2 linked regions of the Caenorhabditis elegans genome follow. The protein of the gene in region 1 interacts with the protein of each later gene in a pairwise test. Each region holds a gene or a part of one and is shown in the gene's direction. Other genes may lie near its edges.

Region 1 (5,022 bases):
TTTTGTGCAATCTCGAGTTGAACATTTTTCTTTCGTGATGAAACCATCCACCGTATTTTTTGCGAAACGATCTCAAAATTTTTACTATTAAAGTTTAAGGATAAGAATTAACACTCTCTTATATTTTTAATACTCATTCAAGAAACAAATTAATAATTTCAGATTCCGTGCTGTAAATCCAGGATGGTGGTTTGCTCATTGTCACTTGGAACTTCATTTAATGGGTGGAACTGGATATGCATATAAGGTAAAATACACTTAATATCAGTATCAGTGCAATTTCTAACTGTTCTATTTTAGGTTGGTGATCAAAATCAAATCTACATGCCACCTGACAATTTCCCGCATGATTGTGGTGTCTTCAAAGTTGATAAATTACCAGAATTAAGGCTTCCAACTCAAAAATCTTCGAATATCCCATACACTTTCATTGCTGTGTGCCTAGTTCTTATTATTGATAGAATATTTCACTGATAATTGATAATTTTGATGATTAGAATTTGAACTTTACTCAGCTTGATGTCATATTGATATTAATAAATGAACGTGTGCCTGAAAAAAGTGGAAAGTGAATGAGATTTATTGCACAAGTTGAACAACAAAATTAAAACTCAGATTTTTGGAATGTGTAAGTATATATTTAACATTTAATTAATTTCAAATTGGAATCACTCGATCAAATACATCTTGTAAAGTTTTTCGTGTTCTTCCACTTCGAATTTCGGGCGGAAATTAACTTTCACAATCTGTGAAAATCCCTCGGACAGTGTTGGTTCAACATATTTTCCTTTATGAATTCTTAATACCATTGACGAGATTTCAGCTGCATTATCATCTGTTAACACTCGGAATCGAATATTGTGCTGTGCGTGTTCCATACTACAATTCATCTCGAAACATCGAATGGGCACTCCGAGCTCTTTTGCCACGTCAATATATCGCTTTCGTGATTCTAGATCCGGTGATGTGTTATCAATAACTACAGATTTTCCATCAGCAAGATATGAACGAGTGGCTGCTACACACTTTTGCCATGTTCCGATCGTGTCACGATTCACAATATGAATCAAAAATTTTTGAGTTGAAAAATGCTCCAAAACTTACTTTATAATCATGTTGATGACCGAGCATTTTAGCAAAAGTCGACTTTCCTGAACCGGGAAATCCAACCATTAGAATAATTTCTTTTTCGGATGATTTAAGTTGAGCATCTGAAAATATAATTATATTTATGTTTTCTCATAATTTTATTTCACCATGAGGTTCAAGTTCAGTAATTTCCTCTGAAAATAGATTTTTTGGATCAAAGTTTGGTGGTCCCCAGGGCTCATCAACTTTCGATTTTCCGAAAAATTCTTCTGGAGTTTGAAATTTAACACCGACATTTGCAGCAAAGAAACGATCTGCGTATGAGTGATCTTTTTTAGGACGACTCTATAAAATTAGAATTAAATGAAAGTTGAATCTATTCACACGTACTGTAGTCTTGATTCTTCCAGCAGCATCTCCAACAAAAATGCTTTCTTTTTCATTAATTTCCACTTCATCATTTCTCAATTTCAGCTCATTCCACATACCAACACATGGTTTTCTATAGTGTCCCCCAGCAACTGAAACAAATGCTTGAACAGGTATTCCAAGTTTTCCAACAATTGCTTCAATTTTCTTCCTAAATTCATTTCGATCAACTTTTCCAGCGTGGATGCCTTTTTGATTTGTGAAAATGACAATTTTGAATCCGTCGGAATGCAATTTTTTGAAATCTGATGGAATTGAGTCATATAGAAGTTGCCAATCTTGACAATTTGTTGGAAACACTTTTCCAGACTTTGTTTTGATCAGAGTTCCGTCTGAAAATACGATTTTTTTAAACAAAAATATTTTTTTCATACACTAGAAAGTTTAGAACAACTCATAAATTTAACCTTTTTCAGGTTTTCATCTATTATTGTTGTGGAGATCGACAAAAAATAGTTGTAGGGGTTCGAATCTACAGTAATTTTAGGGATTTCCACAAAAATTTGGCAATTTACCAAAAAAAAAATTGATTAGTATTACATTTTTATTAATTTGTGCAAACTACTTAATTTGAAGAAAATCAAATGGAAATTACATCACAATTTTAGGTTCAAGGGATAAATGTACCGAGCCAGAGGCTCACTGCTTGAATAGTCTCAGTAAGGCCAAGTTTCTTGATACTAATTTCATATTTCGTGAAAATTATCAATTCTGCGCCAAAAATATGTGTTTTCTTTTGATAGAAGACGTGAGTTTTCCCACTCATCAACAACAAGAAAATCAAAAAATATATCCATACACCACTCAGTATTTCTAGTCGTCTGTGTTCTCTAATTGTAGGTCACAGCCTCCCTCCATTAGACAGGCATAGTATGTTTGTCTGTGTCTCTTCATCTTCATACACACTCTGAATGTTTGTCTGTTGTCTCTTGAAGTGTGGACACCCTCTATTAAAACGGCACTCCCTTCTTCTTGACGTTAGAATTCATTGATTTTTTTCTATTTATTTATTTTATCTTTTCTAAAGATGCAAATGTAAATATTACACAGATGCGAAATTTTGTGATTTTCAACGCAAAAATACGATACTCGGTCTTGACACTGCGGAATAAGTTTATATGAAAAAAAGTGCACCTTTAAAAAGTACAGTAACCTCTACGAGTCACTGTTCTGACTTATTCATCTTCGACTTTTTTCCTGAATTTTGCATAAAATTTTAGTATTTTTTGATTTGTCTCACAAAAAACAATTTTTTTTTGGGAAAAATGTGAAAATCGGAAAATCAAACCAATGAGGCAGGGAGATTACTGTACTTTTTAAAGGATATTCGGTCGTGCCAAGACCTAGTATCGCATTTTTGCGTAGGAAATCGCAAAATTTCGAATCTGAGTAATACTATTCTAACCGAAATGTAGAATTCTCAGCTTTAAACTTCAGAAATGACTGAAATCTCTCCTAAAATACTTGAAACTTCATCCGAGCCACCACCAAAAAAGAAGCGTGCCAATTTTACACTCGAATTCAAAAATGAAGTTATTCGATTTGCTGAACAAACAAATAATTGTCAAGCTCAGAAGAAATATGGAGTTGCAAGAGCTTGTATTCAACGATGGAGACATTTGAAGGTATTTCTGAACTACAGTAGTTCTATCAACAAATTTCTGGAATTTCAGCACGAATTAGCATTCGAATCAGAAGGAAAACAAGGAGCAAAGAGGCTCGGTGGAGCAGGAAGACCGCTAAAGAATGTGGAATTAGATGAGAAAGTTGAAGATTGGATTGCTTCGAAAAACGGGAAAATTTCGGGAAAAGATATCAAGGAATATGCGAAGAAAATTAATGGAAATGCAGACTTTAAGGTTTGAAACATTTAAACTCGAATTTCGAATAAAATATTTTCTAGGCAAGTAATGGTTGGCTTCAAAGATTTATGATTCGACACGGATTGATAAAAGCAAGAAGTTCAAGCCCAAAAACGCCATCAACTAGTGATGGCACAACAGACAAAACGCTTGAAGAATCACTTTTTGAACTAATTAACAGTGATGAATGGAAGAATATATCAGAAGGAAATGTTTCAGGATTCCTAGAAGATTTTAATGCAGAAAATGGAGAAACTAGTTTAAAAGTCGAGGGAAACAATAGTACAACCACAGAGAGTGAAGTAAAACAGAAACCAAATGAATCATCGAAATTGCCAGAAATAAACATTTTTCAACAATTGGAGATGCTTATTAAGGATTCTAATGGGAAGGAAGACAGTGTAGAAGAAACCGAAACATCTGTGAACCGTTCTCCGAAATCTTATTAATTTTTTGTTATCGTTCATATTTTTCTAAAACTATAGCATGTTATTTTCCATTGAAACAATTCATATCTGATATTCATAATCAAAATTTGGAATACTCATGGAAAGTTAAATCTCGCCAATAAAATAATGTGACCAATTCTTACCCATATCGAATGCGGCAATTTTCTCTTTTCCTTCACATTCTGAATGGGTGAAAATCATCAAATCGCCGTTGTCCTGGAAAAATCAGACTTTAGTTTTTTTTAATGAAGTTTATTTTTGAAACCTTTGATTCCCAGGATCCAGTCTTTTTCAGTGGTCGTCCAAATAAATCAGTATCTGTAAACCGGAGATGAACTTTTTCAGATAAATTGCAAAATCGAAACCTTTAGATTTTTTCGCTTCGTTTTTTGCTCCATCCATTGCTCTTTTCATAATTCTAAGTCTGAAAACTGCTGAAAAAAGCAACGTCTGCCAATTATTTGTGGAGCAATTAAAAAGAAAATCAATAATCGATATTTTCTGTGTTAAAAACTTTAATTTTATTGGAAAAATGTAGCAAAACCTCAAAAAGAATTTATTTTCAATTAAAACAAACGTAAAAAAAAAATCAACAAAACTTCTAATCTAGATTTAAACTTCGAGAACATCCACACTACTTCTTTCCTCTCAATTGTGCACGCTTTCCTTGACCGATTGGTGGCCGAACAACTTTTCCGCGAATAATTTTCAAATTATCTTGAACATCTCTGAAAACTACGTGATCATCAAAAAATAGTCCATGGAATCGTAGCATTTTGGTCAAATAATGAAACATCGGAAGATTTGGATAGTATTTCGGTGATAATTGTTCTTTGGTTTCATATGGTTCTGCAGACATTACTCGGACAACCTGTAAATGAAAATTTTCAGAAACTTTTCTTTATAAAAATCATCTAAAAACCTTTAAACTTTTAGTGTCAGTTGGCATGACAACCTCTCCCCATACTCGATTTGACAATCGATCCATTCGTTTTCCGAATGGTGTAGGTTGAGAGATTCCGCGGCCGGCGTGCACAATTCGTGATGCAGCCAGACGTGCCGCCATCTTAAAATATTTTTTTTATTGTTGATCCGTTAAAATCGGATGAAACTGTTAAATATAGATATAAATAGGCAAAGGACCCATTTCGGAAGGAGTATTCTCAATCGAAAACGTTTCAAAGTTTCAGTTA
Region 2 (5,912 bases), on another chromosome or scaffold:
TTCTCGTGTCGAACAAAATTATGAATCAGCGTTTCAAAGAAATATGGAAATGCGTAATGCTTTTCGTTCGTTTTGAAACCCGAGAATTTGGATCTAAAATCTGACACATTTTAACAAACTGTAATAAAAATCAGTAACTCATATCAAATGGGATTTTTCAAACTATGTTTCCAAAGAAAATTGAGATACAATTGTCAATTGTTATTATTAAAAAAATTAAAAATGTGTCCGCTCTCTTATTTTTTAATTGTGAGGTACCAGGGTCACAACAAGAGAAGCAATATATAATTACGCAAGTCGTTTATTTTTTACCGCCAAGGAAGTATATTTTTGACCAAACAGAGATATCCCCCACGACCCATTTATTTCAAACAATAAAAATTGATTTCTTGAACCCTATTTTTTTACTCAGAAATTCAGGCTTTCTCCAGACAGACCCGGTCAAGCAGCTGTCTTGCTATAATAGTTATGATTACGCAAAAAAGAGGAAAAGGAAATTGAGAAGGAATAGGATATAATTCACTCAACTCTTGGCCCTGATCTGCCTTCCACGTGGGGGAATAAGTATTATTTTCAAAGCCAGAAAAAATATAATGATTACAATGGTTTTTATAATTTTTGCCAATTTTTTATTATTCATAATCAGTTTTTCTGGAACCATACTAAATTCTTATTTACTCTACAAATTCAGTACAAGACGAGGAGTAATCAGCGGATTCTATAAACTTTGTTTAGTCAAAACCGTTCCAAATATAGTCGTCTGCGCGTGTTTTTTAATTTGGGCTGTTCCACTGGGCAGTTTTCGAGTGAAAAATGACAAAGTGCCGAGAGATGCAAATGTTTTTGTCGGACAGTTGGCAGGTGCCGGATCATATATATTTGGTGAGTTTTTTGAAATCACTAAATGTACGTATTAAAATCTTCTAAATGCAGGACCACTTCTTCACGTCGGCATGTCATCAAACAGATTTTCATCCCTGTATTTCCCAATTCAAATAATGAAAGCAAATCGATATCCAATTACAACAATTTCAATTGGAGTTGCTTTTATCATAGCTGTCGTTTTTACAGTGATTGGGCTACCAAGTATGTCGTTTGAAATTAATAAAACATAAAAAATGTTAAACACTCAAAAATAATCAAGTATATAAAAAACAGAATACAAAATATCAATAAACGATTTCCAGTCTAACCTTTTTAACTTCCAGAAGATTGCGGCTTCTTATACTTCCCTGAAACACTGGAATGGCTTTCCGAGGAAGCGCCGTGTGCAATATTTCAATACGATCTTCTCCTTTACTCCATTCTTGGATGTGCCGTGATTTCAAACTCTATGAACCTGGCAACAGCGGGAAGATTACTTTTTGATAAGGTATATAATACAGAACTTTTAACTAATTTATTTAGTATTGCTTCTAGGTTGGCGGCATGAGTGCAGCTGATTCGAAAGTCCGCCGAAAGAAATACCTCGTCACATATTGTCAAACTGTACTTCAAGATTGTCTACATGTCCTCGACATGATTAACAGTACATACACGTGGCAAATATATCCAGATTCAATATGGTTTCAGTTCTTCTGTCTCACTTTTTCTTTTGCCTCAATTCACTGTTTCGATGGGTGAGTTAAAATTACATTTAAAAAAATTGGATATCCATATGGAATCAAGCTTGAAATGCGATGTGTCGAAGTTAGACTTTTTAAATCGTTTTATTTGCATGAAATATCTTTGAAGTTTGGCCAGTTCATTTTGTTACACGTTAGGAGAGCTTTGAAAAATCGAAAAGTCCTGCCTACAAAACTCCATAACAAATTAAGTGGAATCAAATTTGAAATTTGATACCAATTTACTAACGAGAAATTGTTATTGTTATTGTATAAATCTACATATCTCCACTTGACTCTACCGTTCAGTTTTATTTTGCCAGCCTTGTCAAGCATAATTTTCTGAAAAAGAAATAAGGCTTTTAGATTCGTCATGTTCTACTTTCACAGCGAAGTTCATCCCAAATGGATGTGGCGGAAGGCGATGAGGAAAAAATCATTAATTTTAGTTGTTGCAATGTCAAAACCATCTACGTTCAGTTAACTGGTATTTTTTCTGAATTTAATTCATCATAGCTCAAAGTCATTTTGTTTTCTCGTATTTGTTGGTTATAAATCGTAAAACCCGTAATTTCAAGTACCAAAACAAGCATATAATTACAAACTTGAGCCGGCGTACACATCACGTGACCAGTATTTTTTCTCAGCTTCAGATTATTTTAGCACGTACTTGAGAAGGAGGCAATAACGGCGACAAAACCCAATTACCTAACACCCCTCCACGAACAAGAAATCTAGTTGTCCAGAATGATATTTCATCTGGCTCGTTTATTGACTCACAATTTATGACGGAAGAAAATTTGGTTCCAGACCAACTTCTTTTTATTCCGGAATCAAAGTTGATGTCGGTCATATTTCACGTTATTGCAGTTGTTTCTATGTTTACGGTAAGTTTTGAAAGTATAAAGTAAAAAGGTTATCAAAAAAAAAACCACGAAAGGGGCTCAGAAACTTGGTCTGTCAGCCATCTAACTGTATTACGAAATTACATAGAATTTTCGTACCCAATTCCAAATTCCAGATCAGTGCAATGGGTCTCGCAGTGAACACATATCTTTTTCAAAAATTTTCCAACAAAGCAGGTAGAGCAAGTGCTTTTCATAAGCTGTGCCTTGTCAAAACGATTCCAAATGCAATTGTGTGTGCATCATTTCTCATATGGGTTGTACCTTTGTCAATATTTCAGCCAGATTACGAAAATATTCCAAGAATACTGAATGTATTTGTTGGTCAAACTGCCGGGTTTGGCGCATATGTCACAGGTGAGTTTTTAGTCTCAGAATTGGAATACAAAATAACTAAAATCCTCTATTAAACAATAGACATGTATTAGCGACAAAATGAGTTTTTAAAAAACGGGGAATGAACTCATAAATCACACAAAACAATGTCGTGATTGTCTTTTTTGTGCCCTAAACTATAGAATAATTTTGTTTTGATGGCTAAAACTATAGTCTTTAAAATCTGAAACATACGCATACTCATACTCAGCTTGTCTATTAAAAATAATGTTGATCAAATCAACTAGAAAACAATGATTCAAACTAACTTCTGTATAAAATGTACGAAGTCTTCTTCTACTTTAAAATTAATTCCATAATTTTTCAGGACCAATACTGGAGCTATTCATGTCTTTGAATAGATTTGCAGCATTGTACTTTGCAACTAGACACCTACGTATAAGCGACTTTCCAATAACAGGAATTGCTATAATTGGAGCCTTTGCAGTAGCTATTCTGTACACATGCCTAGGCTTTAGACGTGAGTCATTACCATCGGAAAGTTACAGTAATAAATTTAATTATATTTAGCAAATTGCGGATTTGTGTTCTATCCGGCTACATTTACTTGGGATAAAGAGTACACACCCTGTGCAACTGGGATGTCTTCATTAATATTTTATTCAGTGGTTGCTATTGCCACGTGGACCAATTGTTTGAATGTAGCCACAGCATTCAAGTTGTCCATTGGAAAAGTGAGCTTTTGATTATTTGTTTTTTATTAGTTCAAGATGAGCGATTTTTACGAATGAGTTGTTCAAATTCATTACGAACTTGGGTATAATGATGTACATATTTACAAAAATATGCATCATTTCTAAAACATAGATTAAAATTTCAAAAGATCAGACTTATTTGAATTAAAATGTAACAACTGAGTGAAGTTTTAGGTTGCTGGAATGAATCAAGCCGATGCACATCGACGGAAAAAGAAGTTGATTTTGATGTTCACACAAGTAAGTTTATATCAGGCTTTACAGACAATTAAGACGCACATCTTTACAAAAGTCGAAGACCCGAAAAAAAATTAGCTTTTTCATGAGATAACTGGAGAAAGTCGAAAAATGTGTTTAATTTTTTTTCAGAGTTTTTAAATTCAAACACAATGTTTTCTATATTTAGTTTCTGAAAACTTTACACAAACAATATTAGCAATATCAGATAATAACAAAAAAAGGAGAAAATCTTTATTCCAATGAGCTCACAATCACAGACAGAACCGTTGACCACGAATTTGCTCGCTTCACTTGCATCCAAATTATCGTTTCTTTTTCAGAGTGTCATTCAAGACTGTCTTCACGTGATAGATCTCATCAACAGCATCTTCATATTCAAACTAAGCGATGCTCTTTGGTTTCAGTTCATTTTTCTTTCAATATCGTTTCTTCTTATTCATGCACTCGACGGGTAATCAAGCGTGGAGCAGCGTATTTAGACACAAAACTCTTTATTTCAGTTTTGTGATGCTCTATTTTCACCCTGAAGTTCATCCCAACTTTCTGAGAGGAAAGACGTCATCAAAGATAGCTACAATTGCAACGCCTACTTTTTTGGGAGATAGGAAAATTACAACTGTTGAATAATTATTCTCATTTTCAAATTTTTTTCGCTAGAACTTAATAATTTTATGTGATTGTTATTTGCGTGAATCCGGGTGAAATACAATACTCACATCAGTTCAATACAAATGTTCTAAATTTTTTACAGCTGTTAAGTCTCAAAGAATGTTAAAGTGTTGGAATTGTCTGTAAGACTGAAAAAGATTACTCAGTTTAATACCATGTATGATGTGGCATCTTTGCAAGACCCTAAAGGTGTTAATGTATAACATAACAAATCTAATTGTGCCGCGATTTTTATTGATAAACAAAAAATCAAAGCCCCATATTTTTAAAGATGCAGGTGAATTTTGAATAATGTTTACTGTTTTTGCTGAATTTTAAATGTCATAGATTGACAAACCACTATATGATCGAAATTTAATATAAAAACCGGAGAAAAACGAAAACAGATCTTGTTCTGATCTGGATGAAGAGATCTCGAAAATGTTCTGAAAGCGTGAAATAATTGAAACAAGCATGGGTGGTCATTTGGATTAATATACGATTATGTAGGTATTTTTTGTTACGGCTTACAAATGTGCTGTTATTGCGTCATTTTTATTAATTTCAGAAGTTTTCTTAGAAGTTTCACTTTTTTCAGAAGATGCATATGTATTCTTTTGGTTTTTCTTTGTAACATCACTTTTTGTTAACCTGAGAATTCTAATGCAAAAATTCTCACTTCAAGCATTTCTCAAAGTTTGTTTGAGACTTGAACACCACAATCTATGTACTCAGTTGTTTTTTATAGGTTTGTATGGCACGAGCGCAGAAGAAAATTTGAAATATTTGCAAAAAAAAACGTTGAAATTTAATTTTAAGTTTGTAATTCAAAAAAATGAAAAATTATTTTTTAAGTGGATAAGAGAAAACTAATTGCAGAAATCTAGTACGAAAACTGCAAAATTTAACGTGTTTTTGTTGTGATGCATAATAGGATTTCGTTTCAATTAAAGCTTCGCATTAAATGCCAAAAACTTTTAGCAAATACTTGAATAATTCATTAGACCAATAAATCTTCGTATAGTCGAGATTATTGTGAATGCCACACTGCATTCCATTAGTTTTCATGAAATTTTTCGGTTTTATTCATTTTCGTCATAAACAACAATAAAGATCACACATATTTTAAGTCTAAACTAATGTTTCACATTTTATAAATCTTAAGAGACAATTTCGAAGCTACCTTGATTTAATCTTTGATAGCCCTAACTTCTAGCCATTCACAAAACCTCTTCCCTTTTTGTGTCCGGAAAACTTAATTCATTTTCGTTGTGACTTCCCACGATTGTTTGACAACAAAGTTCTATGAGATGTCTATTCTCTAATAATTTTCCCAGAATCCAGACAATTTAAGAATCACAGATTTCATGATTAGTCTACTTCTTTGTTTTTGCTCCAACTAATCCTTGTGCTCATAACTGTAA

Evidence for each region. Proteins that work in one complex are often made in the same cells at the same time.
Region 2: the proteins of F21D5.4 (region 1) and srx-135 interact in a two-hybrid assay, tested with the Caenorhabditis elegans proteins (one large-scale study listed by BioGRID).

The regions. Positions count from the first base shown.
Region 1 is NC_003282.8:8,735,132-8,740,153, forward strand, and holds F21D5.4 (HTH CENPB-type domain-containing protein), read left to right. Parts: upstream 1-2,955; 5' UTR 2,956-2,957; coding exon 2,958-3,143; intron 3,144-3,191; coding exon 3,192-3,377; intron 3,378-3,421; coding exon 3,422-3,829; 3' UTR 3,830-3,970; downstream 3,971-5,022. Other genes in the region: F21D5.3 (Multicopper oxidase), read left to right, coding at 163-247, 301-474; F21D5.5 (uncharacterized protein), read right to left, coding at 669-1,061, 1,105-1,211, 1,257-1,434, 1,480-1,850, 3,973-4,045, 4,095-4,147, 4,195-4,243; mrps-33 (Small ribosomal subunit protein mS33), read right to left, coding at 4,464-4,700, 4,752-4,895.
Region 2 is NC_003283.11:13,856,855-13,862,766, forward strand, and holds srx-135 (7TM GPCR serpentine receptor class x (Srx) domain-containing protein), read left to right. Parts: upstream 1-2,351; 5' UTR 2,352-2,446; coding exon 2,447-2,491; intron 2,492-2,625; coding exon 2,626-2,866; intron 2,867-3,212; coding exon 3,213-3,365; intron 3,366-3,415; coding exon 3,416-3,579; intron 3,580-3,774; coding exon 3,775-3,840; intron 3,841-4,160; coding exon 4,161-4,291; intron 4,292-4,340; coding exon 4,341-4,467; 3' UTR 4,468-4,548; downstream 4,549-5,912. Other genes in the region: srx-136 (7TM GPCR serpentine receptor class x (Srx) domain-containing protein), read left to right, coding at 594-882, 934-1,086, 1,209-1,372, 1,420-1,619, 1,971-2,088.